4 linked regions of the Pelodiscus sinensis genome follow. The protein of the gene in region 1 purifies or fractionates together with the protein of each later gene. This does not show direct contact. Links are inferred from orthologs where the notes say so. Each region holds a gene or a part of one and is shown on either strand. Other genes may lie near its edges.

Evidence for each region.
Region 2: the proteins of RPP30 (region 1) and RMP64 purify together in Homo sapiens (affinity purification with mass spectrometry; 3 studies listed by BioGRID and IntAct, counting the BioPlex papers as one, with this or other methods). This does not show direct contact. The link is inferred for Pelodiscus sinensis from reciprocal best matches to the Homo sapiens genes RPP30 and RMP64.
Region 3: the proteins of RPP30 (region 1) and POP1 purify together in Homo sapiens (affinity purification with mass spectrometry; 5 studies listed by BioGRID and IntAct, counting the BioPlex papers as one, with this or other methods). This does not show direct contact. The link is inferred for Pelodiscus sinensis from reciprocal best matches to the Homo sapiens genes RPP30 and POP1.
Region 4: the proteins of RPP30 (region 1) and RPP25L purify together in Homo sapiens (co-immunoprecipitation; 3 studies listed by BioGRID and IntAct, counting the BioPlex papers as one, with this or other methods). This does not show direct contact. The link is inferred for Pelodiscus sinensis from reciprocal best matches to the Homo sapiens genes RPP30 and RPP25L.

Annotation. Positions count from the first base shown.
Region 1 is NC_134718.1:40,357,235-40,364,791, forward strand, and holds the start of RPP30 (ribonuclease P protein subunit p30), read left to right. Parts: upstream 1-4,315; 5' UTR 4,316-4,391; coding exon 4,392-4,473; intron 4,474-5,866; exon of another isoform or gene 5,867-6,143; coding exon of another isoform or gene 6,144-6,183; intron 6,184-6,319; exon of another isoform or gene 6,320-6,425; coding exon of another isoform or gene 6,426-6,477; intron 6,478-7,557. UniProt on the Homo sapiens protein: Component of ribonuclease P, a ribonucleoprotein complex that generates mature tRNA molecules by cleaving their 5'-ends. Also a component of the MRP ribonuclease complex, which cleaves pre-rRNA sequences.
Region 2 is NC_134711.1:148,120,892-148,128,773, forward strand, and holds the start of RMP64 (nucleolus and neural progenitor protein), read left to right. Parts: upstream 1-4,644; 5' UTR 4,645-4,674; coding exon 4,675-4,774; intron 4,775-6,774; coding exon 6,775-6,929; intron 6,930-7,882. Other genes in the region: protein spire homolog 1-like, read right to left, coding at 1,930-2,158. UniProt on the Homo sapiens protein: May play a role in cortex development as part of the Notch signaling pathway. Downstream of Notch may repress the expression of proneural genes and inhibit neuronal differentiation thereby maintaining neural progenitors.
Region 3 is NC_134712.1:37,841,795-37,849,034, reverse strand, and holds the start of POP1 (ribonucleases P/MRP protein subunit POP1), read left to right. Parts: upstream 1-4,091; 5' UTR 4,092-4,092; coding exon 4,093-4,238; intron 4,239-4,878; exon of another isoform or gene 4,879-5,011; coding exon of another isoform or gene 5,012-5,148; intron 5,149-5,254; exon of another isoform or gene 5,255-5,382; intron 5,383-6,917; coding exon 6,918-7,063; intron 7,064-7,240. Other genes in the region: RIDA (2-iminobutanoate/2-iminopropanoate deaminase), read right to left, coding at 1,245-1,299, 2,102-2,207, 3,862-3,926. UniProt on the Homo sapiens protein: Component of ribonuclease P, a ribonucleoprotein complex that generates mature tRNA molecules by cleaving their 5'-ends. Also a component of the MRP ribonuclease complex, which cleaves pre-rRNA sequences.
Region 4 is NC_134716.1:127,360,856-127,368,651, reverse strand, and holds the start of RPP25L (ribonuclease P protein subunit p25-like protein), read left to right. Parts: upstream 1-4,531; 5' UTR 4,532-4,668; intron 4,669-5,354; exon of another isoform or gene 5,355-5,883; intron 5,884-6,205; exon of another isoform or gene 6,206-6,223; intron 6,224-6,308; 5' UTR 6,309-6,317; coding exon 6,318-6,875; 3' UTR 6,876-7,796. UniProt on the Homo sapiens protein: May be a component of ribonuclease P or MRP.

The sequences.
Region 1 (7,557 bases):
CCAAGAGAGGAAGGAGCATCTTCGCGGGCAGGCTTGCAAACCTAGTGAGGAGGGCTTTAAACTAGGTTTGTTGGGGGACGGTGACCAAAACTCTGAGGGGAGTGGGAAAGTTGGATATCGGGAAGAAATTCAAAGAGGAACAAGCAAGAGAGGAGGACCCCTGATTCAAATGGAGAAGATAGGGCAATCAACTGGTTATCTGAGGTGTTTGTACACTAATGTGAGAAGCCTGGGCAACAAACAGGAAGAACTGGAGGCCCTGGCCCAGTCCAAGAAATATGATTTAATTGGGATAACAGAGACTTGGTGGGATGACTCGCATGACTGAAGCGCTGTCATGGAAAGGTGTAGACTGTTCAGGAAGAACAGGCAGGGGGGAGAAGGAGTTGCACTATACGTAAGAGAGCACTATGATTGCTCTGAACTCCAGTATACTGAGGGAGAAAAACCTGATGAGAGTCTACAGGTTAAGTTTAGAGGTACAAACAACAGCAGTGATGTTGTGGTTGGTGTCTGCTACAGGCCACCGAATCAGGTGGATGAGGTAGATGTGGCTTTCTTCGAACACATTAAAGACTAAGGGTACATCTATACCAGCTTCCAGATTGCAGGCCCTGGTTCTTGTGGGGGACTTTAATCACCCTGACATCTGTTGGGAAACCAATACGGCAGTACACAGGCAAACCAGGACGTTTTGGGAGAATGTTGGGGATAACTTCTTGGTACAAGTGCTGAAGGATCCGACCAGCAGCCATGTGCAGCTTGACCTGCTCACAAACAGGGAGGAACTAATAGGGGAAGTAGAGGTGGGTGACAACATGGGAAGCAGTTATCATGAGATGGTAGATTTCAGGATCCTGACCAAAGGAAGAAAAGAGAGTAGTAAAATACACACTTTGGACTTCAGAAAAGCAGATTTTGACTCCCTCAGAGACCTGATGGGTAGAATCCCCTGGGATGCTAACATAAAGGGGAAAGGAGTCCAGGACAGCTGGCAGTATTTTAAAGAAGCCTTATTGAAGGCACAGCAAAAAACCATCCCGATGCATAGCAAGAGAGGCAAACATGGTATGAGACTGGATTGGCTTACAGGGGAAATCCTTGGTGAACTTAAGCACAAAAAGGGAGCTTTCAAAAAGTGGAAACTTGGACAAATGACCAGGGACCAGGGTTTAAATGTACAGCTCGAGAATGCCGGGGGGTTATCAGGAAAGCAAAAATGCAAATGGAATTGCGACTGGCAGAGGATGTGAAGGATAATAAGAAAGGTTTCTACAGGCATGTTAGCAAGAAGAAGGTGATCAGATAGGGCGTGGGGCCCCTACTGGATGGAGTAACCTAGTGACAGATGATGTGGGGAAAGCTGAAGTACTCAATGCTTTCTTTGCCTCTGTATTCACGGACAAGATTGGTTCCCAGACTAATGCGCTAAATGACACAAGATGGGATGAAGAACAACAGCCCTTGGTGGATAAAGAACAGATAAGGAACTATTTAGAAAAGCTAAATGTACACAAATCCATGGGTCCAGACTTAATGCATCCGAGGGTGCTGAGGGAGTTGGCAAATGTCATTGAGGAGCCTCTGGCCATTATCTTTGAAAAGTCATGGAGATCAGGAGAGATCCCAGATGACTGGAAAAAGGCAAATGTAGTGCCCATCTTCAAAAAAGGGAAGAAGGACAATCCAGGGAACTATAGCATGGTCACCCTTACCTGGTTCCTGGAAAAATCATGGAAGGGATCCTTAAGGAATCCATTTTGAGGCACTTGGAAGAGAGGAAAGTGATTAGGAATAGTCAGCATGGATTCACAAAGGGCAAGTCGTGCCTGACCAATCTGATTAGCTTCTATGGTGAGGTAACTGGCTATGTGGACATGGGAAAGTCAGTGGATGTGATATACCTTGACTTTAGCAAGGCTTTTGATACAGTCTCCCACAATATTCTTGCCAGCAAGTTAAGGGTATATGGATTGGATAAATGGACTATAAGATGGATAGAAAGCTGGCTAGAAGGCCGGGCCCAGCGGGTAGTGATCAACGGGTCAATGTCAGGATGGTGGTCGGTTTCTAGCGGAGTGCCCCAAGGTTCAGTTCTAGGACCGGTTTTGATCAATATCTTTATTAATGACCTGGATGAGGGGAAAGATTGCACCCTCAGCAATTTTGCAGATGACAGTAAGCTAGGGGGAGAGGTAGATACTCTTGAGGGCAGAGATAAGGTCCAGAGTGACTTAGACAAATTGGAGGATTGGGCCACAAGAAATCTGAAGAGGTTCAACAAGGACAAGTGCAGAATCCTGCACTTGGGACGGAAGAATCCCAAGCATTGTTACAGGCTGGGGATCAACCAGCTAAGTAGTAGTTCTGCAGAAAAGGACCTGGGGGTTACAGTGAATGAGAAGCTGGATATGAGTCAATAGTGTGCCCTTGTAGACTAATGGCCTAGTAGGTTGCATTAAGAGGAGCATTGCCAGCAGATCCAGAGATGTCATTATTCCCCTTTATTCGGCTCTGGTGAGGCCACATGTGGAGTATTGTGTCCAGTTCTGGGCCCCCCACTACAAAAAGGATGTGGACGCATTAGAGAGGGTCCAGCAGAGGGCAACCAAAATGATTAGGGGGTTGGAGCATATGACCTATGAGGAAAGGCTGACAGAGTTGGGTCTGTTTAGTCTGGAGAAGTGAAGAGTGAGGGGGGATTTGATAGCAGCCTTCAACTTCCTGAAGGGAGCTTCCAAAGAGGATGGAGAGAGGCTGTTCTCAGTGGTGACAGATGGCAGAACAAGGAGCAATGGTCTCAAGTTGGGGTGGGAGAGGTCCAGGTTGGATATTAGGAAAAACTATTTCACTAGGAGAGTTGTGAAACACTGGAATGGGTTACCTAGGGAAGTAGTGGAGTCTCCATCTCTAGAGGTGTTTAAGTCTTGAGTTGACAAAGCCCTGGCTGGGTTGATTTAGTTGTGAAACACTGGAATGGGTTACCTAGGGAAGTAGTGGAGTCTCCATCTCTAGAGGTGTTTAAGTCTTGAGTTGTCAAAGCCCTGGCTGGGTTGATTTAGTTGGGATTGGTCCTGCCTAGAACAGGGGGCTGGACTTGATGACCTTCTGAGATCTCTTCCAGTTCTATGATTCTATGATATTTATTTGGGCATAAGCTTTTGTGGGTAAAAACCACTTTGACAGATGCATCCTGATATTTTCTGTCAATTTGAATGCTAGTTTGAGGGTGAGGTTCACTAACAGTGGTTAAAATGTATTAATAGAATATGTAAAACCTATATAGTTATTTATAAACAACAGATTACATTTTAAACGTAATCTGTCAGAAAATGCTGTATCTTAAAAACAATTATCCCCTTTTGTTGACATTTTCAATGTTCTGATGATGCCTCAAATAATTTCATTGGTAATAATTCAGTTGAATAATATAGCTGCTCCATCTAGTGGCTACAATGTTGCTCTCTCCCGGAAATAAAGACCTCACCTTGTTTCAACATTGTTTCTGAAAAGGATTCCACCTCTACAACATTTTTACATATATATGGAGCTACAATGTAGCTAAGAGCCATGTCATTTGTTAGGGGGCTTTCAGGGGGCTATCAGGGTTCAGAAAATCTGGGATTCACTTTTCTGGGCTTCTTTGCAATGTGTCTCTGCAGCTGAGGGTAGCAGCACCACTAGCTCAGGGATCCATGTAGGGCAGGAAGCAGGAATAACGTAGCCTATACACCACAAACACACACACTCTCACATCCCGGGCTCCACGCGATGCTGCCACTTTGAAACACCATGGGGACCATGGGGACCTGGCTCTCTCTCTCTCTCTCTCTCTCTCTCTCTATATATATATACACACACACACACACACACACACTCTCTCTCTCTCTCTCTCTCTCTCTCTCTCTCTCATATCCCGGGCTCCACGCGATGCTGCCACTTTGAAACACCATGGGGACCTGGCTCCAGGTTTCAAGCAGCGGCTGCCGCTTGGAAGTACCCCCTCCACTTCCCCCCTCCCTTTCTGCCTCTTTCTGATGGGAGACAGCAATGGGGGAAGTGACTAGTTGACTAGCTTGTGGTGTATCCCATAAGCATTTGCTTATGGGATAGTCGACGAGTCCTTCACATCCCTAGGCAGGGGCCATGCTGCGAGGCTGCGAACCCCAGGCCCAGGCTGGCTGCCCCGGGGCGTGCGAGCACAGGGAACCTGCCCCTGGGCGCAGCTGGGAAGGCTGGGTTGCACGGGCCCGCACGCACCGCCCGTCCGCCACAGCAGCGCGGGAGGCTGGGGGTGCAAACTACAACCCCCAGCATGCCTTGGGCGCAGCCTACGTGGAGGTGCCAGCGCCGCCCTGCCGCTGAGGCTGCTGGCACCACGTGGTGGCAGCATGGCCGTGTTTGCGGATCTGAACGTCCCGCGCGCGCCGGACCTCAAGTCGCTGCAGAATTTGCTGGAGGCCGCCGCGCACCGTGAGTACCACCCCCTCCCCCCCAGGCGCCGGCCAGGTCCGCGCGGCTCTCCCAGCCTGCCGGGCGCTGCGGGCTCGGGGCGAGTCGCCCATTGGCTGCTGCCCGTGCAAGAGCCGGGGTGGGCGCTATCCAGCGGTAGCTCGCGTGCAGGGGTCCCCCCATTGCCGGCCTGTCTTGGGGCGGAGAGCGCTGCTCCCCGCCCCGTTGGTAACCCCTGGCTCTTGGGCAGGCAGCAGCAGCCTGAGTGTTGTGCAGCACAGAAGTGAGAAGACAGATCCAGTTCTCATGGGGAGCTGGCTCTCTATGGGCCCCCACCCTCCATGCTGTCTCTGATACAGAGGAAGCAAGGTGGGAAGGAAATGTGCGTGGTCAGCAGGATCAACTGAGAAGCCTAGACTTATCGGTTAATCTGTAGTCGTCTACACATTGGCATCTTTAATTGGCATCACTTCATTCATTAAGTTAACATCTCTCATGTGGGACTGGAAAGCAGGGGTGGAAGTAACTTAAAATTTCTTACAGGTACTGTCCCGTCCCTGCCAGCTCTTTAAATAGCTCCCAGCTGGCTTTTGCCACAGCTTAGCCTTCTCTTGCTGAAGAGCTGTGCATCAGGGTGTACCTGCTTACTTTTACCTCTGCTGGAAAGATAGCCTGGCTAATTGTTAAGTATCAGAGGGGTAGCCGTGTTAGTCTGAATCTGCAAAAGCGACGAGGAGTCCTGTGGCACCTTATAGACTAACTGAAGTGTAGGAGCATAAGCTTTCGTGGGCAAAGACCCACTGCATCTGACGAAGTGGGTCTTTGCCCACGAAAGCTTATGCTCCTACACTTCAGTTAGTCTATAAGGTGCCACAGGACTCCTCGTCGCTTTGGCTAATTGTTGTGATAGTTCCAATGAATAAGCCGGTTTAAGCGTATCCTTTCTGTCATGGTAGATGTGCACTATTTCTAGTAAAACCTCTCTGTCCTGCCCAGCTTGGGACTTTTTTGTTATGTAGCTTTCTCAGCACAGGCTGGAGCCCTAACTCTGAAGCCAGCAAGGTGGAGAGTCTCACTGGATTTTGGGCTGGAGCTAGAGTCTGAATGTTTATATTACTATTTTTAGCTCTGCAGCAGGAGCCTGCGTTAGTTGACCTGTGCGCTGATTGTATAACTACACCACAGTTTTAAGTCCAGCTGGTCTGTGCCAGTTGACTCTCACCTTAGGGTAAAGGGCTGTTTATATTTGTGATCTAGACATTCAGGCTTACGCTGGATTTAGGGAAGTAGGAGATTAATGGGTTAACTGATAAGATGAGATTTATCAGTTTCTGTTAATGGTTTAACAATGCCTAGGATCCCACCTACCAGCTGTGTGCCTGAAGCTCCTCCTAGCTGCCAGTCTGGTGCCCAGGGTTCTGCTGCTGCCATGCCTGGGGTGCTACGGTTACTTGCTTTCCTGGCTGCTGCACCTGGCATCGTAGAACCCCAGGTTCCTGTGGGCTGCCAGCCCCTCTGGTCTATGAACCCCACAGCTGGGCTCTGGCCTGACGGCTGGGGTCTGTCAATCATCCGCTGCTGCGGCCTGGGATGCTGGCTACTGGCTCTGTACCTGTGATTCTGCTGCCACTTGGCATCCTGGCGTTGCCAGCAGCTGGGGGGCGAGCAGCTGGGACCCCTTGCACACCAGGATGCCTACTGAGGGCAGAGCCTTAGATGTGGGGCCATCAGGTAAGACCCTGGTGACAGGTGCTCCTCCGGTAGCCTTCCATAGCCTTGTGTGTCAGAGTAAACGTTTGACTGGGAACTGATAGAATTTTGGTTGGTTACACTGTTTTTGTTTTTGTGTATGATTTTATATCCCCAGGTTGAATCCTAGGACCCTGTAGGGTAGAAGGGTGCCAGAGCTCAGGCAGCTTGAACCCAAATGTCTATACTGCAACTAAACAACTTTGTCTGAGCCCCACAAGTCCATGGCCATGTCTACATTAGTACTTACATCAGTAAACCTTTTGTCACTCAGAGGTATGAAAATAACACCCCTGTGAATGGCTAAGTTTTGCCAGCATAAGTGCTCATATCCACAGTGCTGTGTTGGTGAGAGACACTCTCCAGCTGACATAGTTCAGAGAGCAGCAGTAGTTGGTTTTATGATATCAACAGAAGACCTCTATCCTGTCAACATAATACAGCTACATGAACACTCTTACAGCAGCACAGCTATGTAAGTGTAGACATGGCCTAAGTCAGCTGGCACAGGCAAGCTGTGGGTTTCTAATTGTAGCATAGATATACCCCAAGACTCTTTGCAGTGGGATGCTTTTGTATGTGTTTGGGGTCTTTTTTTCCCCTGAGAAGAGACATATCCTGAGGCACTAGTACTAGAAGCTCTTGTGTATGTGCTCTAACATTATGGTGCAAGTCGTCTTACTGACTTCCATGGGACTACTGTGTGTGTTCTTACAATTCAGCATCTGCATAATTGTTTGCAGGACAGCAGCCATAAGTCAGTGGCACAGCCATGGGCATGTGCATGGCACCACAATATGCCAACATCTTTATGGCTGACCTTGAACAGCGTTTCCTCTGTTCTCGCCCCCATCACCCTTACTTTACTTACGCGACATCAATGACATCTTCATCACATGGATCCATGGGAAAGAGACCCTGGAAGAATTTCACAAGGATTTCAACAACTTCCACCCAACCATCAATCTCAGCCTGGATCAGTCCACACGAGAAATCCACTTTCTTGACACTACAGTACAATTAAATGATGGACAAATTTCCACCATCCTATACGGGAAACCTACTAACTGCTACACTTACCTTCATGCATCTAACTTTCATCTCAGACACATTTCTCAATCTATTGTATACAGCCAAGCGCTAAGATACAATTGGATTTGCTCCAATTTCACAGATGGAGGGCAAACATCTACTGCTGTGGTTCTCAACTGGTGGTCCATGGTGACTTTCTTGGTGGTCTACAGGAACATTGTCCACAGGAACATTGTCCAAAGTCACAAGGCGTGAGCAGATGCCGCCATTAGGCTGTTTTAAGCTGTGTTCACAAGCCATAGCATCACCTAGGATTCAACCACG
Region 2 (7,882 bases), on another chromosome or scaffold:
GTCCAGTATTTGCACCATCTGTCCGGTAGAAAAATTTAGAAGATACTGGACACATGCAATGTCTGGTATTTTCTGAATTTCTGGCTAGGTGCTGGACGGAAGCCTGGCGGTGGTGGGGGAGCGACTGGGAGGCGGGGTATGATTGGCGCTGGGAGCCCTGTGGTCGCATGCAAAAGCAGGGCAGGGCTCAGGCAGTGGCTGGGACTCCCAGCCACTCTCCCCGCCCAGCTTCAGCACACAACCGGAGGCTCCCAGTGCCAATCGTGGCCCCGCCTCCCAGCTGGGAGCCTCTAGTTGCGTGCAGAAGCCAGGAAGGGGGCGCGGCTCCCAGCCCTGTCCGGCTTCTACTAGCAACTAGAGGGAGTTCCTGCCAGGGGTGCGACCTGTTAGACTCCAGCTGCGGCCAGTGGCTGCACCCCCCCCCCCAGCTCTGCTTCCCACCCCCCCTTCCTCTGGCCCCCCCTTCTACTGTCCAGCCCTTCCCCCGGCCCCTGATCCCTCCAAGATCTGCTTCCCACCTCCCCTTCCTCCTGGCAAGCCCCATGGCCCCTGCCCTCCCTGCCAGCCCCGCCCCCCTCCTGGCAGGTGCCTCCCCCTGCCCATGATCAAGTGTGTCTGGTATTTTTGGGGGGAGGGGAGAGGGTCTACCTGGTAACGCTAGCCCCACTGCCATGTATATTGGCCAAACTGGCCAGCCTCTACTGAAAAGCATTAACGGACACAAACCAGATACCCAAAAAGTCAACCCAAAAAGTCAACACACAGAAACTTCTTGGAGAACACTTAACCTGCCCAGGCACTCATTAATGGATTTCCAAGTCACCGTGTTGTTTCAGGTCAATTCCACAAGCCAAATGCACAGGGAAGAGTTGGAATTTAAGACAAACTTGTAAATTAAGTTATCAGCATGGAATGAACAGAAGTATTGGCTCCCACACTACCTTCCACATCCTAATGACTTAAGAACAATTAGTACTTCCATTGTTGTTTGGTTATCAGACTCTTGTAACTACTTGAACAATTTATTCACTGTCTTATTTTTCCTCCTGTCCACCCCCCCTTCCCTTATTTATTCTTGGATCTAGACTTTCAACACTCCAGTCATCTGAAGAAGTGGGTTATACCCACCAAAGCTCATGATACCCTCTACACGTTTTGTTAGTCTTTAAAAGGCGCTACTAGACTATGTGGGTTTTTTTTAAGTTTTTCCAGTTACAGACTAAGTCAGCTACCCCTCTGAAGCTTTTGTCCCTACAAAGTTAGGGCAATTGGTCACCCTACAAATAATATGGGTGTGTGTGTGTGCGCGCATCCATATTGTGGAAGACAGTCATTTTTCCAGAAGCCAGAATTCCTTGTCTCGGTAATTCGTCCAAGTTATTCCCCTTCCCCGACAAAAAAACCCTGAGTGATTCAATAGAGAATCATAGAGGAGGGGGAAGGAATAATCAGCTACAGTTCTATAGCACTTTTTGGCAAAAATACTTTACAAACAGTAGTTGAGTTTCAAAGCATTCCCGTAAATTAGAAAAGTATTTTATCCCCATATTACAGGTTGGGAAAAGCAGCAAATGCAGAACTAAAACCCCAAAACTTTGGCTTCTCACCTGATAGTTAAAATATCAGAAACATTACTGGTATAATGCTCCTACCCAACATCTCTTCTCCAGTCTCTGTAGATACCCTAATTGGTTTGGAGAACACAGCCCTTCACATTAGGAGCATAGATATTAGGTTCAGAGACACCAGGACATATCACAAGTTAGCTTTCTATTTGTAGAGGAATTAATGGGATTCACAACGGAAAGCATTTCAGAGACAATCACATTTATGTATATTATATTAACACAGGCAAAAAACCCTATAGGATTATCAGAGTAAGAAGATTTTTGTTTAAAAACCCCCACCTACTGCTGCCTTTATTCTTACCAGATTTAGGACCCACCGTGAAGGAAACAACACCATCAGAGTGGATAAGAATGCTTCCCAGACCTCTAATCACTACAGGGTGGGAGTCCTGAATCAGCTGCTTCATTTCATAACAACATTGAAAGCAAAGGGCCCAGGCTTGCTCCTCACTTATGGGCTGGTCACAACATCTCAGAAACTCTCCCAAAGAGATCTTAGTAACATTCCATTGACATCTTGAATAATCCATTTTTTACTTTCACTACCCTCCATATACTTGCTTTTGCCCAGGCTATTTTACATCCTCAGACAGCTGTAGGTGTTTTTGGCAGTTTTTATCCATTCTGCCTTATATTTCCTTCAGGTGAAACCAGTTAGAGCTACTTAAGGCTACAACTTCTTAAAGGGACACTTTTACTTTCATCATCTTCTCTCTAGTTATACAAGCATCAGTGACTGAAGACAGAGAGAAAAAAATTAAAAGGCATTTTGAAAGATTAGAAGCCCGAAAAATTAATGTCTGAGTGTAACTCCACTGCCTTCATCAGGTTTGTAATGAGAATAAATATGACTCCTGGGTCCAAAAATTTAGATTCAGCATGGAAAAAGAAAAAAATCATTGTTGGTGGGGGTGCAATTTGCATACTTGGTGGGAAGGAGACACCTGGGAATCAATGATGTTGGAAGAGACCTCTGTACCAGTAGACAGTAAATAGAGTGATGTGTTTTCAGAGGCCTGTCCTATGAGGAAGCCAGGCAACCATATTCTGTACAAGCTGGAGCTTGTGCATTTTATCCACTTTCAGCCCCAGAAACTGAGAGTTACAATTTCCGAGCCTGAAGGTAAAGGACACATGGCTCACTCTGGCCAACTCTTCATCTTGGGGGAAGGAGTAGTTTCTTAACCAGCTGCAGCTGGAAGAAGGATTTTCTTTTTGTTCAGTACTGATGCTTCCTGATCACCCAAAGGTAAGGCTATGCTTACCCTAGCAGTGACTTAATGGTATAGCTACAGTGATAAAACACTCCTAATGTGGGAAAACACTCCTGTGCTGCATCTAGACTGGCAAGTTTTTCCGCAAAAGCAGCTGCTTTTGTGCAAAAATTTGCCAGCCGTCTACACTGGCCGCTTGATTTTGTGCAAAAGCACTGATGTTCTACTGTCTGAAATCAGTGCTTCTTGCGCAAATGCTTTGACATTCCCGTTTGGGCAAAAGCCCTTTTCCGGAAATGTTTTTGTGCAAGAGGACCAGTGTAGACAACTAAAAACTGTTTTGCGCAAAAAAGCCCCGATGGTGAAAATGGTGATCGGGGCTTTCTTGCGCAAAACCAAGTCTATATTGGCACGGACACTTTTCCACAAAAAGTGCTTTTGTGGAAAAGCGTCCGTGCCAATCTAGACGCTCTTTTCCGCAAATGCTTTTAACGGAAAAACTTTTCCGTTAAAAGCATTTGCAGAAAATCATGCCTGTCTAGACGTAGCCCTGCACTTTTGCCTGTATAGCTTGTTCCAGCTCCCTCTCCCATAGACAGGGCCCCCAGGTTTTGCACCACTTTGGTGAGAGGTGGCTGGATGCTTGTGCTAGGAGGTAATGTGGGTGGATCACAGGCATTCCCACAGAGATGAAGTGATGTTTTTGCATTTTATCATTTCCCCATACGAATGCCGTGTCATGATCATCCCATAGCTGTTGTTATTTGGGTTTTAGTGCCCGAGGTGAGGTGCACACCACATGCTGTGGTAGGCACATGGCGAGCCCCTACATCTCAAAAGGGATGTGATGGTGTGTGTGGCGATGGTGGCACTGCTCATGGGGACAGTGAAGGGTTGTCTGTAATTGTGCACCTCTTCTCCTGGCACAGCCTGGCCACTGCTTTGAGCTGTGATGGGAAGTGGAAGCCAGGGTTGTCAGGTGTCCGGTATTGAACTGGACAGTCTGTTATTTTCATCTCCTGTCCAGTAAAAAAATTCAGAAAATACTGGACACCTAAAATGTCCAGTACTTTCTGATTTTTTTCCCAGCCAGGAGGCAAAACCCCCAGGTTGTCTGATTCAGTATGGAGGCAGCCTGGCAACCCTAGTGCTTACTAGGGAGCTTTCTGACCCAGCATAGGGAGGCAAGATAGTGGGCGGCCACCGGTAAGCTGTTAGGGCAAAAAAGCCTCACCATGCAATTTTTAAAAGGGGCCATGGTGGGGTTTTTTTTTTTTTTTTTTTTTTTTTGCTCAACACACTTTTTCCTGGCATGTTTTTTTTTCTTGTTGTTCTGTATTTTTTCTGAAACCATCTGGCAACCCTAGTGGCAGCAAGAGACAAGGCTTGGGACGGGCACCAAAAAGGGCAGGTCCCTGGGCAACGCTGTGCCAGGATCCCAGCCAAGGGGGTGCACCTTGGAGAGATCTCAGCAGCGCTCCCAGCCCTTGGGGCTCACCCCTCAAGCCCCCCCAAAACCAGGAGACAGGAGACCCATAACAACAACAGACTAAGGGGCCCTGCGCCAGCCCAGCCTTCAGGCTCCCCCGGGGCGTGGCTTGCAAGGGGGCCCCTCTTGCGCCCCCTGCCTCCGGGAGCCGGCGCCTTGCGCTACGGACCCCAGCGGCCTCCGCTCCCCCCTAGCGCGCCGCGCGCCTGCCTCCGCCCAGACCACTTGGTTCCACCTTCCCCGCCCACCCCCACGCGCCCGCTTTGGTTCCGTCCCGCCTCCCTGCGCTTGTAGTTCCGCCCCCCTGATCGCTACTCTCCTGCCACCCCCCACCCTCGGCAAGATGGCGGCGCCCATGGCGGGGGAGGCAGCGTGGAACCGCTGGCATGTGCCGTGGCCGGCGAGCTGCGCTACGGTGGCCGTGGCGGCCCAAGACCCCGCAGGTGGCCGGGCCCAGGGCAGCGCTGGGGAAGGGGTGCGGGGAAAAGCGAGCACGTGCCGGGAGATGGGAGAGCATTGGCTGGGGGGGCTGCGCTGGGAGGATGCAGGGGCCAGAGGGTAGCAGTGGAGGGATGGTTGGGGGGGAGGTGGGGTGAAAAGCAGCTTTGGGGGCTAGTGGGGGGGGGGGAGAAGAGTAGAACTGAGCAAACAGGCTCTGCAGCATCTGTGGAGAACTCCCCACGCGCCCACCCCCACGTGCGGGGCTCTTAGCTTTTGCCTTTCCTGTCTGCAAACTTGAAGCATCTTTGACGTGTTTCATATCCTCTGTGGCTCTGAAACAGCCCGGCACATATTGCACGACGCGTTTGTGTCACTGGCATTGTCAAGGATCTGGGAATAGATTTTTTTTTTTTTGTAAGGGCTTGATCAGTCCCAGAGTTCTGTGGGTTTGTGGTTTAAATACAGAGCAGAACCAAACTAGAAGTGATTGTGATTTATATTTTTTTAAAAAAAAACCCTCCCCCAACTCGCCACCTTTTTATTTCTATTCCTTTGCAGTTTTAAGAACACAAATCCAAATATATTAGACTAGTCCTAGTGATACTGCCTAAGCTTGTTGAGCTGTCCAAACTCTGAGGAATGGAAAACAGAAAAAGTGGGGAGAAGTAAATTACTTACGATTCTGTTTTAATGAAACCTCCATGTGTTATAGCAGGGGGCAGAGACCTATGGCTCAGTATGGCACCAAAATATGGCTCTCTTGGCCATCCCCGCTGCCCCGTATGCTGGAGCTGGAGCCGGGCCATGGTGGGGTTGTCCCTTCTTGGTCAGCTGTACTGTGGCCCCAGTCCCAGCTAAGGATGTTAAAATGCAATGATCTGGCTAACTGAATAGTCGATACAATTTGTATCGATTATACAATTAGTCAATAAGCACTGCTGTTCAGAGCCACAGCGGAGGTAGTTCCAGGAGCCGGCTCTGGGGCCACCTGTGCTGCTGCTCTGCATTTTAAATGTAGTAAGAGCAACTGGCTCTTGCTACATTTAAAATGCAGAGCAGCAGTGATCCGCACGAGCCAGGACTGCTTGGTCCTGGCTCACTCTGTGTCCAGTAGCCCCTGTTCACGGCAGACACCCCTGTGTACCAGACTAGCCCCTGTTTGTGGTGGCCCGGGCTCCCTGCTGGGACCCCCGTGGAGAAGGGCTGTTTCCCAGCAGCGTCCCCTATTCTCCTTCCCCTGCTGTCTCTAATAGAGGCAGCGGTGTGGGCAAGCAGCACCCCAGAGACGGTGCGGGGGGAACCAGCTTTTAATCCAGTTCCCCCAAGCACCAGCTCCTCCTTCCCCCCATGCTGCCTCTCTTATAGGAGGTTGCTGCAGAGAGCACAGGGTGAGCAGAGACTTCTTGAGTCCCTGCTTGCCCCAGGCTCTGTGTGGCACTTCTGCTTTTGAAATGTACAAGAGCCCTGCAGGGATCTTGTACATTTCAAAAGCAGAAGCTCCCACAGTGGGAACTGGTGCAAGTGGGGACTGAAGCAGTCCCCACTCATACTGTTTCCCCGCTGTGACTCTACCTCCCTTGCCCCCTGCAGAGACAGTGCTGGGGGGAAATGGCTTAAAGCCTATCTCTGATAGAGGCAGCTGGGAGGGGGGAGAGCGACTAGTTGAGTGGCTACTCAACTATCAGAGCATGGTCCGGTGGAGCTGTGTGGTGGGCCACTGCCCTGGAGCTGGAGCCAGGCCACAGTGTGGCTGCTTCTGGGCTGGGGCAGCTGCACCGTGGCATAAGTAAGGACTAAAAGAATGTATTGCAGGCAAGAAATACAAACTGGTATTTGTTCAAATTGAAAGCCAGACAAGTAGTCCCTAGCGCTTATGAGGTGTGTTTCTTTGGTCCTTGTGCTTTGTCACATGGGTTTTTATACATTTATGTGGTGCTAATATGATTTATCTTGTATGAAGCTCAAAAACAACTATTTTAATGTCTCAATTTCTCCCCCCCAGTGAAATGTCTTCCAGCTGTTATTACAGGATGTTACAAGGTCAACACGTTGCTAACCAGTAAAGCTGTGGATGCAGAAGGAAAAGTTTTACATTCAATCCTTTATGGTTTCCACAACTCAATGTCTCACCATAAAACCTATTTGTCTCTGAAACAGGTCAGTAAGATGAAGCTGCTTGAAATAATTATGCTTGGAAGGAGCCTTCTGTGTATCTCAGTTAGAAGTACACTGCAGTTTTTTCAAAACTTTCTTTTGAAGAAGAAATTTGCCAGGCTTGTTTTTATTCCAAACGTGGATTTTGGTAGTTTCATAACACTCTTCACTTGTTTTTAAGACATTGTGGGTGTGTCTAGACTACAGGTTTTTTTTAAAAAAAGTAGCCTTTTTTCGAAAAAATAGTACCTGTGTCTAGACTACCGCCGCGTTCTGTCGACAGTAAATCAAAAGAACGCGACGGTTTTGTTGACGGCAGTAAACCTCCTTCTACGAGGAATAACGCCTTTTTTCGAAAGTCATCTTTTGAAAAAAGGCGCTATTGCATAAAAACAGGGCTTTTTCAAAAGAGAGTGTCTAGACTCTTTCAAAAAAGTGAGCCGCTTTTTTGAAAAATCTTCTTGTCTAGATGCTCTTTTTTGAAAGAGGCTTTTTCGAAAGATACTTTCGAAAAAGCCTCTTTCGAAAGAGGCTTGCAGTCTAGATGTAGCCTGTGAGTGAGTCCCACTGGGTTTTTTGAACCTTTTCCTACTCTTTTGTGGTCATTGAGAAGTGTCACTTTTTTTTCCATAAGAGCAATATTCAGAATCTTTGTGTTCAAATTAAGATGTTAAATAAATCTAATTAGATGTTTTTATCCATTTCATGCTTCTTAGAGTTCATTAAGAATAGAAATACAAACAGTGGTGGTACATTTATAATGGATGGGGTAAATAATCCAAAAATTGCCTTTGAAAGACAACTTCTGCAAGCTATCCTTGAGAAAGAACTGAGTTTTTTTTTAAGGGGTCGTTAAAAAGTGAAGCTGAATATTTTTGCTGAATATTCTCAATATTTTTTAAAAGTGGTGGTGTTCTATCTAATGAAGCATTCTGTTAATTTTTCTAACAAAATTG
Region 3 (7,240 bases), on another chromosome or scaffold:
AAGCATTACTTACAGACTCACTTCATGCTTTGAAGTTGAGATTTTCAATGACACCCACAGGAAATTAATGGGGACCGTGTATCCCTACAGCAGCTCTGAAAATCTTGGCACTGAAATTCTCATTTCTTCTATGAAACACACACCTGTTACTAAACCCCCAACCACTGCCTTTCCAAGGCTTTGTCTCTGCTATGATTTTGTTACTCTTTTAAGCTTCTCCCCCCTCTGCCCTTTCCACTGCTAATGTGAGCTTCAACTCCACTGTTATAACTTCCACTCCAATTAATATGATAAAGTGGGTTTTGTCCAAGAAAGCTCATGATCCCATATATTTTGGTTAGTCTCTACGGTGCCACAGGACCACTCGTTATAACATTAGGCTATGGCTACACTGGCGGCTTCTTGTGCAAGTATGGCCGATATTGTGCAACAATCAGCAGCGCATCCACACTGCCCACCGGCTCTTGCACAAGAAGATTTACAGTATGGAGTGATAAGAGGGCTTCTTGCGCAAGAGCTATGCTCTTTATTAACAGGTGTAAGCCCTCTTGCAAAGGAGCTCTTGCGCAAGAGGGCAGTGTGGAGGCTCAGCAGGGATTTCTTGTGCAAGAAAGCCCTATGGTTAAAATGGCCATCAGAGCTTTCTTGCACAAGAGAGCGTCCACACTGCCATGGGCGCTTTTGCACAAAAGCACGGCCTGCACATGGCAGTGTGGATGTTTTATTGCGCAAGACTTCTTGCACAAGAACCCTTGTGCAAGATATTCTTGCGCAAGAAGCCGCCAGTGTAGACATAGCCCTGGTGTGGGCAGTAACTGGCACTGTAAGCCCCAGGTGTGGAATATACAAAGGTATTTAGGCACCTTGAAGCCAAAGGGAAATAGGCATCTAAATACCATTCTGAATCTCATCCCAGTTCCTGTAGACCAGCTCTGGGTTAGAGGACAAGATGATGAAAGTGCCAGCTGCACAGATGAGGCTGAAAACAATAGTATCACTAGCCAGTAGTTTGGGGCAAGTCAGCTAAGCATACACGTCTCAAATTAAAAAAAAAAAAGTATTTCCCTGAGTTTCCCTGGATTGTCTTTTTCAATTTTAAAATCCTTGGGCCTGGAATCATATTTTCTTTTCTATCACACAGCTATAATCACCAACTGCATATCTAACAAGACCCCCTTTAGAAAGTCACATTGTTTTCTTCTCTAAATTAAATACTTGGACATCTCTATTATGTAGGCACTCACCATTGGTGTAGTCACAGCCTGCAGCTTTCAGGATTTCCCCTATATTTTTTAGAGCCTATTGAAAAGAAAAGCAGTCTTGAGGTACTGACATTAAGCTATGGCTTCTCTACATACCAGCACCTCAAACTGTAGCTATCAAAGTTTACTCCAGACAACCTCAGATAGCAGCCAACCTTTTCATTAGACAAGTGAAAAGAAAGGTAGGCTACAAATCATCTCACGTAGTGACTGTGCTTCCAGCAGGCCTTCTATTTTTATTCCTTGATTTAAATCACAAAAAGCCACATACATAAGATGAAAAGTTCCCCACTGCAAAAGAACAAGGTCCAGAAGCAATGGCTTGACAAGTAAGCCATCTGGCCCTCCTAGCTGCTAGGATTTGTATTGAGATCCCCTTCCTGGGGTCTGGATTGAGGCTTAATCTTTGTCATAAGTGTCTAATGAATAACAAGGTAAGTGAGATAATATCTTTTATTGGACCAGCTTCTGCTGGTGGACGGGCTAAGCTTTTGAGCTTCAGAACTCTTCTTCAGAATACAATACTGAAAACAGTAAGTAATTGTCCAATTAAATTTAAAGCACATTTCCCCCCCCGATTCCGGAAATGAGGATTTCTCACTATTTTCCTCCTCACCCTTACATTATTTCTGGTGGGGACTGAGGAGGAGGCATTTTCAGCTACTTTATCCCTCCCCACTGCTTCCTGGATTGCTATGTAGAATGATCTCCAACACTGCAGCCTTCATATTTGGGCTTCTCTGTTCTCGGTGAATAGCTCTAGCGACTAAATACAGGCCAAATACTAAGTCACTCAAGTATTAAAATGTATTGTTAAGAGACTTATGATAACTTCTTACCTGTTTAGCCTCTTCTTTTGCCCCTCCAGGTACAAGCTGACCACTTCTAGGATCTATGCCTAGCTGTCCTGCGATATACATTGTCCGATCAATCAGTACTGCTTGACTGCAATATAAGCCATACATATATTTACAGCTCATCCCGAAAAATCTCATTTCCATCCAACCACTCAGAACTATACACTATTTTGAGCAAGCCCCTTGTGGAAATCAGGGACGTAAAATCCCATTTAATTAGTTAACTGGTTAAATGTTATGTTTAACCAGTTAAAGTAAATAGAGCAAGCGGGGATGCCACTCTAGCCCAGCTGGGCTGGAGCAGACACCTGCCCACCATGGCCCAGCCAGGCCAGCCTCCCCCTCCACTATGGACTGGGGCTGCCTGCAAGTCCTGTGAGGCTGAAGCAGCCCTCTACCTATGAAGGGCTCTACGTGGCTGGAGTCTTCGTGTCTCAGTTGAAAATGGCGATAATGCTTTCTTTGTCAGAAGTTTTGAGATCTATAAATGAAAAAGCATTATAAATGTTCTTACAGAGCTCGTGTCATGTATCGGCTTCCTACTCCCCCCTTCCCTGCCGATATAGAGGTGTGTGTGTGTGTGTGTGTGTGTGATCATTATGGTTAACCAATAAGACCAGACTTATTAGTTAATCAAGTAATTGCCTACATGCTAACATCTCTAATAGATACCAAAAATACAAATAAAATGACAAGCCACAGATTTACAAAAAAAGTAGACTAAGCCCTGGCAGCTGATAGCTTTTTATTTTTTACTGGACATACCACCAAGGGTTTTGATTATTTAAAGCCACATGACTGCAATATGTAATTGTTAGGACTGGGTCATTCCAAAAAACACACAGACCATGGAAGACTTATGGGAACTTCCCGCATTATTTTTATTTATTATCAGATTGCATGGGCTTGCTAATGTTGGTGTCCTAGGAGCTTTAAAAAGACATGCTTTTAATATTCAACAGAAATCTAATACAGTAAATTAAATCCACATTTTTAGTCACTAGTTGGCCATTGCTTGACAAATCAGCTTTAAGTTGATTACAGTCATGAATGCAAATTCTGCACACCTGCTCTCTGGCTTTATTGCTGAAGTGTGCTGATGGGATTTATGCTCCAGTCTCAGCAAATTCAGCATATTTTGATTGCCACAGAATATAAGGCTGCTGGCACAGCACCCAGTTATTTCGGACAGCAAGCATGCAATTAAAGACTTCAAAGCCCACCGCAAAACATTATGTAAATGCCAAAAGATTTACTGAAATAGGACTGCCCAGTAATAATGCTTGTATTCACTCTCATAAAGAGACTGAAAACAGAATTTCATAATGCAGGCAGATAAACCTATCATTACGCAGCCACAGGCACAATTAACATATATTCAGTGATAATTAAAAATAATGAATTTCCAATAATATTGTGGACATTTTCCTCATTGCAAAATATCTGCTGTCATTTCCCCATCTCCGTGTCTGTTCCCTTCCCACACCTCCCAAGGGGCCGAATTGTGTCTTTAGCCCAGATCACGAAGTCTTCATCTTCTCCTTCAAGTCCACCCTAAAGTCCCACTTCTTCTGCAAGGCTCACGGGCCGCCAGACTAAATGGGAAGTTCCTCCACGTTGTCCCCTGTGTTGCCGCGGCCCCCCCAGTAAGTTCTGCCTGGGCCAGTCTACGGCCCCGCGCCGGACTCCTGCCCCTGCCGGCTGCAGCACCAGGCAGAGCGAGTCTCCCGCCGGCGCGTTACCTGTAGGGGCCCATGGCGGCCGGCGCCCCGGGGGTGCTGATGATTCTCCGGATCAGGGTGGCCATGGCTGCCTGCGTCACGCGCCGGGGACCCCGCGCTGCGCTGCCTGCGGACCGGCTGCCCGTCTCGCTCTGGGAGCGGAGGAGTCCAGCCCCGCCCACGTGTGTGCACAGCCCCGAACTGCGCATGCTCCCTTAGAGGACCGGGGGGGGGGGGGCCCTCCCGGGGAGGATGCTGGGAGATGCGGCGCTAGGGGCTGGAGGCGGGTACGACCGGGCTGCTGCGGCTGGGAGCGAGGCCGAGGGAGCCGCGCGCCGCCGGGGACAGGGACAGAGGCCAAAGGAGGCTGCTCCCACGCGGGGCGGCCCCGCTGCCAGGTACCGCCCGGGCGTGCCTGCCCCTCCCCCCGCTGTGCCTGGGGGGACTCTCCCTCCCCCGCCCCCTCCCCGCCGTGCCTGGGGGGGGGGACTCTCCCTCCCCCGCTCCCTCCCCGCCGTGCCTGGGGGGGGGGACTCTCCCTCCCCCGCTCCCTCCCCGCCGTGCCTGGGGGGGGGGACTCTCCCTCCCCCGCCCCCTCCCCGCCGTGCCTGGGGGGGGGGGACTCTCCCTCCCCCGCCCCCTCCCCGCCGTGCCTGGGGGGGGGGACTCTCCCTCCCCCGCCCCCTCCCCGCCGTGCCTGGGGGGGGGGGGACTCTCCCTCCCCCGCCCCCTCCCCGCCGTGCCTGGGGGGGGGACTCTCCCTCCCCCTCCCCGCCGTGCCTGGGGGGGGACTCTCCCTCCCCCGCCCCCTCCCCCGCCGTGCCTGGGGGGGGACTCTCCCTCCCCCGCCCCCTCCTCCGCCGTGCCTGGGGGGGGACTCTCCCTCCCCCGCCCCCTCCTCCGCCGTGCCTGGGGGGGGACTCTCCCTCCCCCGCCCCCTCCCCCGCCGTGCCTGGGGGGGGACTCTCCCTCCCCCGCCCCCTCCCCCGCCGTGCCTGGGGGGGGACTCTCCCTCCCCCGCCCCCTCCCCCGCCGTGCCTGGGGGGGACTCTCCCCCCCGCTGTGCACCCTGGGCGCCCTGTCCCTGCATTGCAGCGCTGGCCTGTGGGATGCGGCAGTACAGCTCCCCAGCAGCGAGTCCTCGCGCCCGCCGGCTGTGCTGAGTTGTAGCATGAGACCCGCCGAGTCAGGACACGCCGTGCACCCCTCCTCCCCCGGCCTCCTCACTCCAGGGGAAACGCACCTGCCGCGTGCCGTGCTCCAACCCGTTCAGCAGCAGAGGAAGTTCGGTTTGGATGGTCATAGCTTGTAAGCCAGTTGTTATAGAGCATGCAGACAAACCCGTCAATAATTATTTTGTGCCGTGGCTGGATTGTTTTGAGACTGCTTGCAGTTTTCCATTTTATTTCTCTAGTCCTTTATGCCTTCTGTGCACACTGATTTTGTACCAATAAAACTATTCTGCTAGATCTTGCTAATTGATCCAGCTTCTGATGCAGCTGCATTTCTCTCTAAAGGTGTGTTACATCTAAGTTTGGCAAGGTTAGTTTTTTTTATCTGTAAATGTCAGTAAGTATTGATTTTAACACACACGGGCAACATTTCCATTGATAACTGAAATTTATAGATAGCAAAAGTTAGAAAAATGATGCATGATAACTTAATTTGATTTAAGAATATTTACTTGGTATATTTTGCCATGTGATGTTGATTTTGTCTTCTAATGGTTACAAAGCTTTAACATTTGGAATCTTGTCATTTACTCTCATTGAATTGGAGTCCCCCCATAACTTTGTGGAACTGAAAATTTAAATTGATACAAACTAAAAATGTTTAAAAACTAACACCTGTTGAAATTAAGCTAACATTGAATTCTGCAAAGCTTATTTATACAGTCAGTCCCCGACTTACGCGGATCCGACTTATGTCGGATCCGCACCTACGAACGGGGCTTTCTCGCCCCGGAGCTCACAGGCAGCGGTCAGCGGGCGAGAAAAGCTGCTCCTGGTGCCCCTGGTCTGCTGGGGACCGTCTCCAGCAGACCAGAGGCGCCGGGAGCAAACCCGCAGCCGCGGGGGGTCCCGCGCTTCTGAGGCTTTGCTCTAGCAAAGCCTCAGAAGCGCGGGGACCCCGCCGCGGCTGCGGGTTTGCTCCCGGTGCCCCTGGTCTGCTGGGGACCGTCTCCAGCAAACCAGGGGCACCGGGAGCAAAGCGGTCCGGCGCCAGAGCAAAGCCTCAGAGGCGAGGCACCCCCCCCTCCTCCGCTGCCACTTTGCTCCCTGTGTCCCTGGTCTGCTGGGGGGGGCGCAGCTAGTGTGCCCGCCCCCCCCAGCAGACCAGGCTTTTGTTGTGGACCTTGGAGCAGAGCAGCTGGGGCGCTGCCGGTTGGTCCCGCAGCGCCGCTCTGGGCACTACTGGACCAACCCGGCAGCACCCCAACTGCTCTGCCCCAGGCGTCCTGATTCAGCCGCTGCTGGTCAGTTTCAGCAGCGGCTGAATCAGGACTCCTGGGGCAGAGCAGCTGGGGTGCTGCTGGGTTGGTCCAGTAGCGCTGAGGAGCGGTGCTACTGGAGCAACCCAGCAGCACCCCAGCTGCTCTGCCCCAGACGTCCCCAACTCAGCCGTTGCTGAAACTGACCAGCGCTGACTACAGGAAGCCCGAGGCACAGTTGCTCTGCCCCGGGCTTCCTGGAATCAGCTGCTGATCAGTTTCAGCAGCAGCTGACTTGGGGTTCTTAAGTTGAATCTGTATGTAAGTCAGAACTGGCGGTCAGTTTCAGCAGCGGCTGAATCTGGAAGCTAGTTCCGACTTACATACAGATTCAACTTAAGAACAAACCTACAGTCCCTATCTTGTACGTAACCCGGGGACTGCCTGTACTACTGTAACCTTTTGCTCTTCTCCTGACCTACTGGATTAGTTGTTACAGCGTAAAACACCTTTATACTAATAGAACTGCAGCAATATGTGGGGAACTTGTACCTCTTAATTGTACTGGTGTATAGGTACAATTTGAGTGTGTAGAAAAGGCCACGTGGAAGAAGAGTACATGTACTGATGGTCTTTTTTTCCCCAGAATGTCTAATGCAAGAGAGAAGAAACGTGCCAAGAAAATGAGAAATCAGCCTTCCAGTGTCACCTTATCTTCTGATTATGGACCATGTCATAGTGGAATACAGCACCATAATGGTGGAAGTAGATCTTTTCAAACTCCAAAACAAGGTCTGAGATGTGTGAATTTCATTTTCAACATTTATTGAATACAAATAATCTTTTTCCCCACTCTTGTCTTTTGGGTCAGGGTTTAATGCTTTGGAACCAATGGCACTTCTTCCTCTCATCACCTATGTAGGTAAATTAAGTGTTCATAAAGAGATGAACTGATAGCATAACATTTTT
Region 4 (7,796 bases), on another chromosome or scaffold:
TCTATTAAAATTTCACAGCCCCCCCTCTTCCGGGGGGGGGAAGATTGGGATCCTTATTTTTAAATTTTCCACGGACCCCCTGCAGTACCACTGCAGACCACAAAGGGTCCACGGACCACAGGTTGAGAACCACTGAACTACAACAACAGGAAAGTATGAAGTGTCTACTACAGCTGCAGGGCTGTAGCTGTGCCGGTGTAAGAGCTGTAGCGGAGATGGTCTCTACGTCAGTACTTAGTTTTGATACATCCAAAGTTGCTGAAGTAGGTGATGATTGAGTACTTGGTGCTTTTCTTTCTCCATTAGAACAGAACGAATGTACCAGGGTCAAGATCTTGGGCCATGTGGTGGATGAAAGTGCCTTCTTTCAAATCAAATGTAAAACCAAAAGGTCCTAAACACTTGTCTTCTCTGAAGATATTTTGCTCTGAGTGGGATAGATAAACTCTAATGTCCTGGCCAGATTCACACTGGGGGACATGTCACTATTATCATTTACTGTTTGCATTGCCATACCCACAGCCCCAAACTGAGTTTAGGGCCCCATTGTGCTGGGTATATCCACACACACATAGCTAGAAGCAGTCCCTACCCTAAGATCTAAATAGATCAGACAAAAGATGAGAAAGGGGGAAACTTAGGCACAGGACGATAAACTGACTTCTCCAAAAATCATGCTGCAAGATGGTGGCAGAGACAGGTATAAAACCCAAATCTCACAGCTCCCCAGCCACTGTCGTCTCCAGCCTGTTGTCTGTTCCCTGGACTGACTCTCCGTTTTTCAGTAGACTCAACGGTCACTTCCTGTCCTAGAGGGCCAGGCAGCAGCCCTAGGAGCCGTTTCACAGCTGGGCCCAGCTCACCCCAGCGGACTTGGAAGTCAGGCTGCTATTTCCTGAAAGGAGCAGCATTCCCATTTGTATGTGTCTGTCCCAGCCCCGGGCCAGCCTATAAGCAGCCTTGCTCTGTGTGGTCACAATCTGTTCTCTTGGCAACCTTTGGCGGTACACCTGCCTATATTCCGCCCAAAGTGACATCACAATCAGTTATCATGGTAACCATTGACATCGCACCTGCAAATAGCCTTGCCCAGTGATGTCACATCATGTTGTCATGGTAACCTCCGGTGAAGGAGACCCTTGCAGAATTCCAAAGGAATTTCAACGACTTCCACTCCACCCTTAACCTTAGCCTGGACCAGTCCACACAAGAGATCCGCTTGACACTACAGTACAATTCAATGATGGCCACTTTTCCGCCACCTTATACCGCTACTGACAATTACACTTACCTACATGCCTCTAACTTCCATTCCAGACACATTGCCCAATCAACTGTTTACAGCCAGACCCTGAGATACAACCGGATTTGCTCCAGTCCCACAGAGACACACACCTTGTTCTACAGGATCTCTGTCAGGCATTCTTAAAACTTAAATACCCACCCAGAAAAGTGAAAAAACAGATTGACAGAGCCAGATGAGTACGCAGGCATCAACTTCTTCAAGAGAGGCCCAACAAAGAAAACAACAGTACACCACTGATCATCATCTACTGCCCCCGACTTAACCCCCTCCAGTGCATCATTAACAATCTACAACCTATCTTGGAAAATGACCCCTCACAGGAGACAGGCCAATCCTTGCTTACAGACAACCCCTGAAGCTCAAACAAATTCTTTCCAGCCACCATGCAGCACCCGTCCATCATACTCACCCAGGAATGCATCCTTGCAATCAACTCCGCTGCCAACTCTGTCCACGCAACTACACAAGTGACACTATCACAGGCCCAACCACATCTGCTGCCACATCAGAGACTCACACAATGGCACATCCACCAATGTGACCTATGCCAGTGTTTCTCAATGAGTGGTACGAGTACCCTTGGGGTACTCCATAGAACCATAAAACTGGAAGAGACCTCAGAAGGTCATCAAATCCAGCCCCCTGTGTGATTGACCAGGTCGTGTCTGGGCACAGCTGAGGGCGTCTGCTCAGACTGAATTGCTCAAATCCGGGGCTCCTTACAGCCCCCAGACTGGTGACCTCTCAACACAGGCCACAAACCAGTCCCACAGAGCACTTCAGCAGCCTGCCTGAAGCCTCATGAGCAAAACCCCTCCGACACCCCAGCAATATCCGTGCCCCAGATGGCCCCGGGCCTATACACAGGTGGGGGGGTCCTAGCACCCAATCCCACCTACCCTGAACAAGTTCTGTCCGGTTCCAAGAAACCAGCCACAGATCCCTGGTCAATTTACCCTCTGGATCTTACCCACAAATCACGCTGGGCCAATCCTTTAGAATCTATATCTAAAGGTTTATCATCACAAGAAAGAAAAGCATGAGAGTAAGGTTGTTAAAGAATAGTACGTTACATGCACCGAATCTCCCAGTCCTCGATGCAGGCTCTAGCAGAGATGTTACAGCTGCTGGTTTAAAAGTTCTTGTTGCACATCCTAGCATCAGGATGGGTTCACAGGTCTTCCGGGCTCTTCGATCCCTGCAATGCTGCCTCTGGGATGAAGTGCCAAGCTCAGAACAAAATGGAGTCCCCCACATGGCCTCTTTATACCTCCTTCCTGACCTCTTCTTGGCTGAAGCCGGTCACCTGGCCCTCAGTCTCTCTCTCCTGGCAGCTCTTAGGTCTCCGCCCTCATGCTTTAGGTGTGTCCTTGGCCCATTGAGTGCCATTGTCCCATAGGGCCTCGCTAATTAGCATGTCCACAGGCCAGGCTCTGCCCAATGCTCAACCACATTCAGAGAAATATTCAGCTTCCACACAGATTCTTACCTATACACATAGACACTATACACTCACATAAATAGCGTACACAGGATTAGCAAACAGTAAGCTCCCATTCAACACCCCACATGGCCCCCTTTTATATCTTTTTTGGGGCCAGCACCCCCACCTATGGGTGCAGCCATGATCTGGCTGCTTCCCTCAAATTCCAGTAATGTGACACCCTGCTCTAGGCAGGACCAATTCCAACTAAATCAACCTGGCCAGGGCTTTGTCAATCCGAGACTTAAACACCTTTAGGGATGGAGACTCCACTACTTCCCTAGGTAACCCATTCCAATGCTTCACCACCCTCCTAGTAAAATAGTTTTTCCTAATATCCAAGCAGGACCTCTCCCACCACAACTTGAGACCATTGCTCCTTGTTTTGCCATCTGTCACTACTGAGAACAGCCTCTCTCCAGCCTCTTTGGAACCTCCTTTCAGGAAGTTGAAGGCTGCTATCAAATCCCCCCTCACTCTTCGCTTCTGCAGACTAAACAGACCCAAGTCCCTCAGCCTCTCCTCATAAGTCATATGCTCCAGCCCCCTAATCATTTTGGTTGCCCTCCACTGGACCCTCTCCAATGTGTCCACATCCTTTTTGTAGTGGGGGGTCCAGAACTGGACACAATATTCCAGATGTGGCCTCACCAAAGCCGAATAAAGGGGAATAATGACATCTCTGGATCTGCTGGCAATGCTCCTCTTAATGCAACCTAATATGCCATTAGCCTTCTTGGCTACAAGGGCACACTGTTGACTCATCTCCAGCTTCTCATCCACTGTAACCCCCAGGTCCTTTTCTGCAGAACTACTACTTAACTGGTTGGTCCCCAGCTTGTAACTATGCTTGGGATTCTTCCATCCCAAGTGCGGGACTCTACACTTGTCCTTGTTGAACCTCATCAGATTTCTTGTGGCCCAATCCTCCAATTTGTCTAAGTCACTCTGGACCCTATCTCTGCCCTTAAGCGTATCTACCTCTCCCCCCAGCTTAGTGTCATCGCAAACTTGCTGAGGGTGCAATCCATCCAATCTACTCGAGAGAAGTTAGGGGGAGCTACATCAACACAACTGAAAAGTGGAGAAGACTGAATTTTTGTTTTAAGTTTTACAGCGTTTTATTATTTTTGTATTACTGTTTACACCCAAAAATGTCATCGCCCACCCAGCTACAAATAAGTTGTTCAAACAAATGTGTTGCAATAGTAGAAAGAACTGTTGTGTGTCTGGAAACTACAGGTCCCGGGGTCCGTATAGATCTGTTCTTTGTTTTTAAAAAAGGGGCACTTTGTAAAAAGGAAGTTGAGACGCAGGGATCTCTGCCATCAAGGGCCAGGCGTGCCCCTTGGCCGTGGATACTGGGCGCCCGGGCAGGCCCTAGGGCAGGAGACGAACCGGCACAGAGCAGGCCTGGCACCCGCTCGCGGATCTGGGCTCTCACAGAGCCGGGCCAGCTGGAGCGGGTCGCTGCAGAGCCTGGTCCCGTTCACAAGCCGAACCCCGGGCACCCCGCTGACGTCACAAGCCACGCTCGGCACGGACACGCCCACTGACTCGAGCCGCGCCGCCCCCTTCCCGTTCCGCGCGTGGCTTTTTCACACGCCCACCCTCCGCCGCGCCGAGTGACGTCGGAGCACGTCGTCATGGCAGCCGCCGATGTCACGGGGAGGGGGGGGGCGAGCCTGGGCCCCGTGACCCTCGCGCGCCACGGGCCGTGAGGGCGACCGACGCAGGGCGCGAGCTGCTCACGTGACTCCCAAGAGCGCCGCAGCCGTTACGGGCCCGGCGCCGCGCGCCCCCGTGACGTCACCCCCCGCGCGACGGGGAGCCGCCATCTTGGCGGCGGGGCTGGCGGCGCGTGCGGCGGCCGGGAAGGGTGAGCGCGGGGCGGGCGGCCACTTCCCCCCCCCCCAGTAACCCCTCCAGGTCCGGCCCCTCCCACGCTCCTCCCGTCACCCCCCCCCCCGCGCCTCCGAGCGGGCAGCCCCGCCCCCCGCATCCAGCCAGACCCCCCCATTAGCGAGACCCGTAAACACCCAGCCCGACCCCCCCCCCGGGACCTTCCCACCGCCCTGGGGCCGCCCCCCCCCGCGGCCCCCCAGGCCCCTGCCGCGCTGGGCCGAGGTTGCTCTTCCCTGCCCCCCCGGCCCGTCCCCCCCCGCCCCCACCCGCCGAGCAGAATCCCCCCCCCGGCCCGTCCCCCCCCGCCCCGTCCCCACCCGCCGAGCAGAATCCCCCCCCCCGGCAGCGTCCCCCCCCGCCCCCACCCGCCGAGCAGAATCCCCCCCCCGGCAGCGTCCCCCCCCGCCCCCACCCGCCGAGCAGAATCCCCCCCCGGCCCGTCCCCCCCCGCCCCCACCCGCCGAGCAGAATCCCCCCCCCGGCCCGTCCCCCCCCGCCCCCACCCGCCGAGCAGAATCCCCCCCCGGCCCGTCCCCCCCCGCCCCCACCCGGCATGTAGCCCTCGGATCCCGTCATCCCCCTTCCCCCCTTTCAGACACTGACCCCACATCTGTCCACCCAGCCCCCCCCCCCGTATCTTTCCCAACTCCTCTTGTTCCAATGAGGCAACGTCCCGTTGACTTAAAAAATAACAGTCCTTCCTTTCCTGCTACTAACAGCTCCTGAGCTCGTTCAGCTCCTGCATTTCATCAGTGATGCTATTTGTTTAGCTTTGCCATGTCTCTCCATTTGGGGCTGCAAAACTAGATCAGTTACTTTCAGATTCTGACTCCCATGTGCCATCCACACACAAGCAGTGCTTGGATTGCAGATAATATACGAAATAGTTTTAATCCAAGCCAACCTGCTATTTATTACTGAATTTTTTAAACTACTAAATTGCTCTTTGTAATGTTTTCTCTTCTTTCTCCTTTGTCTTTTCTAACTCCAAAATGTCAAACTCCAGTATCTAGTAGCAGCTTAGACGGGAGAATTTCATTTAATTGGGCAAATGACATTTCTAAGTGGAGTTACATAAAGTGGAGGTCTTGGGTGTGTTTGGGCCTAAAACTCAGTATGTATTTTTCTGTAGCATGTAGCTAGAGGTGCCTAAAACTGTCACGATCCTTTTCAGGCAAATCTAAGCAACGTGAGTAAGAGGCTCTGTGTGTGTGCATGTAAGTGTGCACAGCTGGACTTCAGCTGGGAGGAAGGGGCTTTGCCCCTTGGGACTGGGAGAGTCTTGGAAGACAAAAGGGCTTGACGCCTTTATCCTTACAAGTGTGAGGCTCAGAGCTTCAGCCCTACGGGGTAGCTTCTGATAGTATTCAGTGCATCAAGCAGTCCTGACAGCTTGTGGCCACTTGAGTTTAGAACCACTGCTATGGAATCTAGCACAGTGAGGGCCCAGTCCACAACTGGGTCGCCTGAGTGCTATGGTAATACAAATTAATAATAAAGTGGATTCTACTCAACTTTTTATCAGTCAGGTAATATAGCCTGTGAAATTAAATACCGTGCCTTTGTGAATAATAATTAGAAGCATGCATTGATACTGGTTCTTCTCATTTACAGTGGTGCATAATGGAGAACTATAAGAAATCCAAGATTGTGGAGAAGCCCTTTCCCATTCCGTTCACCAACCTGCCTTCAGATATTATCGAGATGAAGGTGAAGGATGGCAGCAAAATCAGAAATCTTATGGGTTATGCCATCGGCAAGATGGAGTCGGACTCGGTTAGGCAGATCCTCTTCACTGGCTCTGGCAAAGCTGTCAGCAAGACTATCACTTGTGTGGAAATCATGAAGCGAAGGCTCAAGGAACTTCACCAAATCACCAAAGTGCTCTTCAAACAGACTGAAGAGATCTGGGAGCCCATTGTCCCTGAGGCAGGTCTAGATGCCTTGACAGTGAAGAGAAATATTCCTGCCATTTGTGTCCTGCTGAGCAAAGATGCACTAGATCCCCAGGAGCCTGGCTATCAGGCCCCAGGCTCTTTTGATGCCTTCTGGATCGAAACACTCAAAGCTGAGTCTCAAGCACAAACTAAAAGAAAGCAGGGTGGAGGAAGGGGGGCTGGCCACACAGGAAAGCATCCAAGATCTATTGGAGGACGTGGCGAATTGTACAAAAAGCCTTGAGACGGAGACGTATCCAAAGCCATTTTTAATGGCATCAGGAGTAAAAAAACAAGCCTGCTCAACTGTTGCCACCAAATAGTGACTGAACTCCTTGGCAGAGGAGAGCTGAAACCTAGCACAAGTGGGAGAGGGAAAAGGGGCATGTGGAAACAGGGCCATAGCGTGGCAAATACATTCCTCTCATAACAAGTCTGGAGTCTGTCTTGACAAGTCGTCTTGCTGAAGACCTGCATGGTGATTACTCTGCTGCGTGTGGCTTACTAGTGAAAGAAAGTAGCCCAGAATTGCCCAAACTCTCCTTAATGAAGAATAGGGAATTTGCCAGGAGTCCTGAGGCCAAAACAAATGTGCATTAAATGGAGCTGATTTCAGCTGCCCTGGATGCTACTTGGAAGATGGAACTGGGCCATGCATCTGTGTTAGAGATGAAAGGGTGGAAGGCTATGGGATAGAACTCTGAGTTGAGGATGTTTTTGGCTTTCCCAATTGCAATGGCATTTTATTAGACTGGACCTCCTAACAGAGCCTTTAGGCTCTGTTTCCCTTTTTTGGCTATGTTCTGCTGATCCCTGGATCTCAGCTCTGGCAGTGACTGAATGGGGAACGTTGGGCACCACAGGGATTTTGTGCGGATATACTAATTGGTAGAAATCACACTGACAGAGCTCTGTGTAAGTGTTCGGCACAGTTGTTCATAGTGAATGCCAACACTAAAACTGTGTTCCTTCTGCTACTCCTTTATGATTCATACAGCAGAATTTAAAATAAAGATCCCTCTTGAGTTTTACATCAGAAATTTTGTCTCTGTCCTTTCCTCTTTTTGCCGAAGCCATTAGTAACATTTAGAGGACTGAACTTGAGGCATCGCTCTAGGCAGAAACCTGAGCATGTTCAGCTGTGACTGAGAAGGAACAGATTAAT